Linked DNA regions of Xenopus tropicalis. The protein of the gene in region 2 purifies or fractionates together with the protein of the main gene of each other region. This does not show direct contact. Links are inferred from orthologs where the notes say so. Each region holds a gene or a part of one and is shown on either strand. Other genes may lie near its edges. The genes, in order: dcaf7 and hipk2.

The links.
Region 1: the proteins of hipk2 (region 2) and dcaf7 purify together in Homo sapiens (affinity purification with western blotting; 3 studies listed by BioGRID and IntAct, with this or other methods). This does not show direct contact. The link is inferred for Xenopus tropicalis from reciprocal best matches to the Homo sapiens genes HIPK2 and DCAF7.

The regions. Positions count from the first base shown.
Region 1 is NC_030686.2:16,434,703-16,437,313, forward strand, and holds part of dcaf7 (DDB1- and CUL4-associated factor 7), read right to left. Parts: intron 1,897-2,611; coding exon 1,778-1,896; intron 160-1,777; coding exon 1-159. UniProt on the Homo sapiens protein: Involved in craniofacial development. Acts upstream of the EDN1 pathway and is required for formation of the upper jaw equivalent, the palatoquadrate. The activity required for EDN1 pathway function differs between the first and second arches.
Region 2 is NC_030679.2:7,974,998-7,978,926, forward strand, and holds the start of hipk2 (homeodomain-interacting protein kinase 2), read right to left. Parts: upstream 2,583-3,929; 5' UTR 2,100-2,582; intron 1-2,099.

The DNA.
Region 1 (2,611 bases), on a different chromosome or scaffold from region 2:
CCAACACAGTCGAAGTAATGGATGATGTTGGGGGTCTTCATAGATGATTGTACTGTGCTCCAGGTGGCGCAAGTCAAACATTCGCACAGAGCCATCTGCCCCCACAGAGGCAAACATGTCTCTGCCCCCTCCTGCACGGCTGAATGCAATGTCATAGACCTGTCACACACAGGGGAGGGGAAAGAAAATACTTTTATATTCATATGGGTTAAAAAAACCTAACTCATTCATACTGCACTGGGTTCAGTTGGAAGGGTTGAACTTGACGGACTTTGGATTTTTTCAACCCTGTGTAACTATAACTGCACAACCTGCAGGACCCATCACCGTGTACACTGGAAAACAATGACAAGACATTTAGGACTTCCTCTGAACCTTTCCTAGTTTAATTTATTAATGCCCCATCTTTTGCTGCCTGAATAATGCTCTAATGTAATTTATTCCCATCTCCAATTGGTGCTGTAAAAATGACACCACTTGGGTGTGTCCAAGATGGCGACCAAACCAGATGCATAAAGTGAGAGCTCTGTGTATCGATTGATCTCTTTGGCAGTTCTCTTCACTCCACACTCCATTTACTACTCACTCACAGTTTGCCAGCAACCACTGGAATGCAGTACTAAAAGCCAACATGGGCAAACATTTTCCATGTATGAGATCAGAGGCTACGCCCTCACTCACCCAGCCAGGTTCCCGCTGGACAAAAGCTTCTGCCAGACATTAACGCCAGAACCACCAGGCCCCCCTCCCAACCAAGAGCCTAGCGAGCCCACAATGGGGGACTTATTGGAAGCTATAAAAGAAACTAGAGCAGCCACTACCTCACAAATAGAAGGGATTAAGATCAACTTGTCCCTCCTGCGCCCGGACCTCTAATACATGAGAGGCCGCACTGCTGCTGTGGAAACTCAGGTCTCCCGAGGATACAATTAACCCCATACACAACACCATGCCATCAGTAACAGCAAATCTAAGCACTAATGGACAAAACAAAGACCTGGAGAATAGACTTAGGATGAGCAAGATCAGAATAGTGGGGCTCCCGAAAGGGTGGAGGGACAGCAGCCAGAGGCATTTATTTGCAAATGGCTATAGGATGTAGTGGAAGCAGATACATTCTCCTCACTATTCGTGGTGAAAAGAGCCCATCAAGTTCCTCCCAGGCCACCCCCACCGGGAGCACCACCAAGACCACCATTCCGACTCAAACTGCTCAACTTTAGGGAACGGGTCGCAGCTCTGAGCGTAGCAAGGCTCAAAGGCCCGATTCTATACAATGGCATCACAATCTCCATATATCTGGACTTTTCTCCTGCTATACAAGATGGCGACACCACACATTTTTTTTAAATTCTCCGGCAGAGGCAGATGAAGGAGAAGGAGGTGCCACCACCTCCCGCTGAGAGAAAGGCACTAACCATCCAACAACCCCCCTTGGGAATAGGGAGCACGGTAAAGGCCTGAATAACACGTCTCTGTGCTTGCCCTTACAGATACCCCAAGAGCAATGGGTTGGGCCTAGACCTGTACAAGGTCTTCAAACCGATTACTACTCTCTGAACAAATCTAAAGGCTCTAGCAACCCAGACCCGTTAAGTCAGGTGTCTCTTTACCCACAACTGCAATCCCCCCGCAGCCACAATATGGGCATGCAGCACAAAGCAACCCAGCAAACTATAGAGAGCCTCAGAGAAGTGTGACTGGAACTCACTCATGGGATAGTCTGTACATACCTTCCCATATCACATTTCCTACCGATAAACCAAAGGCTTCTCACCTCTTTGTCATGGGCAATGAGCTGCGTTTTCACATGTCCAGACACCAGATTAACCCTGCCAAGGACCTGTCCAGTCTCCAAACCCCAGATTGTGCATGTTGTATCAATACTTGAGGTTCCTGAAGGTTAAAGAAAATAATGTTATTCTGCAGTCCAATGAACATTCCTATACCCACAATACAAACAATAGAAAGTCCTAGCACAAGAGGGAAATGGCCGATATATGATGGTCTGATTTGTTCCAGACAGGGACAGTATATTGTTATCAAGCTGGTTTATATGTCCACTTGAACACTGCATGTAGTTAATATCGGCTTGCTAGGGAGGCAATTGAAGCGTGTATTAGGGGTTAGGTGAAGACTAAAGAGAGTGTTCTAAAAAGTAAGAGGTATAGAGTAACTGCACTGAATTGGTTTATATATCCACCTAAAAGAGAGTACAATGCATGTACATAAATGTGTTTGCTCGAAAGGCAAATGAAAACTAAAGATAACCATATGGACCAGAGGACAGATTTTAGCTGCTCATTCAGCCCAAGTCAGCAGCTTATCACCTGTTTATTTTAGGGCCCTCCAATGGGCCTACCAAACCAATATCTGGATGAAATCTGGGGTTTAAAAATCCCATCCCAATGGCCTGTATCCCCATTTTTATGATCTGATCGTTTGGCCCTAGGATCAGTCTGAAATCGCCCACCTGGAGGTGGGCATATTAAGTAAGGTCAGCTTAAAGAAGTTATAGAGTTACTGTATCAAGTTGGTTTATAAGCTCAGAGGCTTGCTCTCAGTGTTAGTTTGGGTGATGTTTTATGAAAATGCATTAAATAACCTTGGA
Region 2 (3,929 bases):
CCCTGGTTGGGGGGGTGGGTTCCTCCTCACTGCCAGCAGGGGGCACCCAATCAGGAATTCTATGAAGTCAAAATCTTCCTCTAAAACCACCCAGACAGAGCACTGGGCTGTGGGATCCGCTGGTGCAGGCTTTTTTATATAATAATATAATCTTTTGTCTCTGCTTCTCGCTGCAGTCGGACTGACGCAGACCGCAAAGCCGCAGAATTGTGCAGCCACTGCAGCAGAAACCCGTACGGCGTTGAACATGTTAAACGGGGATATGGGGTTTTATTTTTTGCTTAAGCGCTGTAATGTACTAAAGAAGGGTATGTTCTAAAACAGCCCCGACATTGTGCCCAGTGGCCTGTCACACGGGGAGGGATCGCTTTATGGCACTTCCATAAAAAGCAGTTAATAAATAACCCTTCCCTGTTATATAAGAACTTTATCCCGAGTAACAGTCTCTCGAAATAGATCCTGGGCAGTTTCTATGTGAATATGTAACAAGGCAAGGGCAAGCGATTCCTCTGTATTGTGCCTTGCTGGGAGTCAAGGAGTTAATGAGAATTCATTCTACACCCTTGCAGAGCCACAGAGGGAGGCGCTGGGGATAGAGATATATATATATACACACACACACACACACATACATATATATATATATATATATATATTTACCTATATACACACACACTAGTTTTTTCAAGGCCAAACTAAGATAATAAAACAATGGCAGCCCCCCCCCCCCCCATCCTTCCTACAGAACCAAGGAGAAAAAAAACTCAAGTTCAGTTTAGATTTTTAACCCCTCGCCCTATCACACCCATTATTTACAGGCAGCCCCTGTGGGTGTATAAGTAGAGACAGAGGAATATATACAACATATCCCGTATAATAACAATATATATATAATAGAGGTGAGAATTTGGTGTTGAGGTGAGGTAGAGAAGAGGGGGTGCAGGATATTCCATATTGGAAATAGGGGGGCAATGATATAGAGTGGGTTCTAGAAGAGGGGGAGCAGGATATTCCATATGGGCAATAGGGGAGCAAGGATACAGAGTTGGTTCTAGGAGATGAGGGGGTGCAGGATATTCCATATTGGAAATAGGGTGGCAATGACACAGAGTGGGTTCTAGAGGAAGAGGGGGTGCTGGATATTCCAAATGGGCAATGATATAGAGTGGGCTCTAGGAGAAGAGGGGGTGCAGCATATTCCGTCTGGGCAATGATATAGAGTGCGTTCTAGAAGAAGAGGGGGTGCAGGATATTCCATAGGGCAATAGGGGAGCAAGGATACAGAGTGGGTTTTAGAGGAAGAGGGGGTGCTGGATATTTCAAATGGGCAATAGGGGAGCAAGGATACAGAGTGGGTTCTAGGGGAAGAGGGGGTGCAGGATATTCCATATGGGCAATAGGGGGGCAAGGATACAGAGTGGGTTCTAGAAGAGGGGGTGCAGGATATTCCATATGGGCAATAGGGGGGGCAAGGATACAGAGTGGGTTCTAGAAGAGGGGGTGCAGGATATTCCATATGGGCAATAGGGGGGCAAGGATACAGAGGGGGTTCTAGGGGAAGAGGGGGTGCAGGATATTCCATATGGGCAATAGGGGGGCAAGGATACAGAGTGGGTTCTAGAAGAGGGGGTGCAGGATATTCCATATGGGCAATAGGGGGGGCAAGGATACAGAGTGGGTTCTAGGGGAAGAGGGGGTGCAGTATATTCCATATGGGCAATAGGGGGGCAAGGATACAGAGTGGGTTCTAGGGGAAGAGGGGGTGCAGTATATTCCATATGGGCAATAGGGGGGGCAAGGATACAGAGTGGGTTCTAGGGGAAGAGGGGGTGCAGGATATTCCATATGGGCAATAGGGGGGCAAGGATACAGAGTGGGTTCTAGGGGAAGAGGGGGTGCAGGATATTCCATATGGGCAATAGGGGGGCAAGGGTACAGAGGGGGTTCTAGGGGCAGACACAATGCAGGGCAGGGGTAAGTATGGAAGGGTCCATTTGCAGATGGGGGGGCAGGGTGTGGAAATGATAAACACGGGGGGCTCCCAATGTTGGGAAGGGGGGGGGGTTGGAATTAGAAAATCACCCTCAGCTGTTCCTTACCGCAGTCTGGGTCTCTCCACCGCTGCCATACCGGGGGCCTCTCTGGACGCGCTTTGGGGCTCCCCCCACAGAGAATAGGGGGACAAGCTTGTGACCCTGCCGGCTCCCGTCCGCCTCCCGCATTGATCAGTCAGTCAGAGCCGCTGCAGGTCCGGCTGCTCCCCCATCTTACCCGCTGCACCCCAATAAGCACCGGGAACGCCAGTGGCCTGCCCTGGAAGGTGAGCGGGGGGGGGGGGGGGTAAATGCAGATATTGTTTCTAATCAACGCAGCCCCCCTGCTGGCAGCTATTAGAAGCCCCCCCGGGCAGCCTTCCAGCCCCCTGTGTTCCCCTCAGTCCGCACCCCCATGCAGGGAGCCCCCGCACCCAGCCTCCCAGCGAGCTGCACGGAAAGTTGCATTTAGGAAAGAGAAAAAGGCAGAGGGGGGGGGGGGTGCGATCCCTTCTCTGTGTGTCTCTTTCTCCTGCCTTCGCGGAGCAATCGAGCGCCGATCGCATGGATTCCAATGGGGAGGGGGGGGGGGGCGGGGAGAGGCTGTACTTTCTCAAAGTGTCTCCCCCCTCCCCTTCTCCTCTTCTCCTCTGCTGGAGAGGCTGTGTGGGATTTCTGTTTAACCAACACATTTCAATCAGGAGTAAAAGGGGGGGAGGGGGGGATCCTATTAACCCTTCATGGAGTCACAAAGGAGCTTGGTGCAATGGGAGAGGGGGGGGGGGAGGCAGCCTTGCTGTGTTTGTATTGGGGGTGGGTATTGAAAGAGGTCATCTCCCCAGTCATTATCCAGCTCCCTGGGTAGGTTTTATGAAGTGCAAGCTCTTGGGGCTGGGGGGTAGGCCCAAGACTGCATTATTATTATTAACGTTTATTTATAAAGCGCCAACCTATTCCGCAGCGCTGTACAATAAGTGTACTACAGGTGGGCAAAATCGGGCGAATCTAGGCTAATTCGGTTCTAATCGAAACAGAACGACGGGTATAGAAAAAGTCGAATCGGGGACCACATCCGACTAAATTATTTAAGCTGCCGGATCGATATATGTCTGATTTCAGGCCAGATATCGGTCGGGCAGGCCAGTCGTTAGTGCCCCTACACAGGCAGATAAGCTGCCGAGTCGGTCTAAAGGTGGCCATACACGGGCCGACTATAGCTGCCGATATGGGTCCCTTGGACCGATTCGGCAGCTAATCGGCCCGTGTATGGGCAGGGCAGAGCGGCCTGGCCGACCGATATCTGGCCTGAAATTGGCCAGATCTCGATCGGCCAGGTTAGAAAATCCGGTCGGATCGGGGACCGCATCAGCTCGTTGATGCGGTCCCTGATCCGACTGCCCCATTGCCGCCCACATAATCCGATCGTTTGGCCCCAGGGCCAAACGATTGGATTATTTTTTTTTTTACCTAAATGCTCCCCGATATCGCCCACCCGTAGGTGGGGATATCGGGGGAAGATCCGCTCGCTTGGCGACATCGCCAAGCGAGCGGATCTGCTCGTGTATGGCCACCTTTAGGGACCCATATCGGCAGCTACAATCGGCCCGTGTATGGGGACCTTTAAGCTTGGCGATGTTAGCAAGCAAGCGGATCTTCTTCAGATATCCCCACCTACAGGTGGGTGATATCGGGCGAATCCAGGCTAATTCGGTCGTTTGGACCTGGGGGCAAACAATCGAATTAGAGTGCCAGTAATAGGCGAAGTCGGATCGGGGAGCGCATCAATGAGTCGCTGCAGTCCCCGATCCGACTAAATTTTTGAAACTGCACGATTGATATCTGCCCGATTTCAGGCCAGATATCGGTCAGGCAGGCCCGTAGGTAGTGCCCCTACAC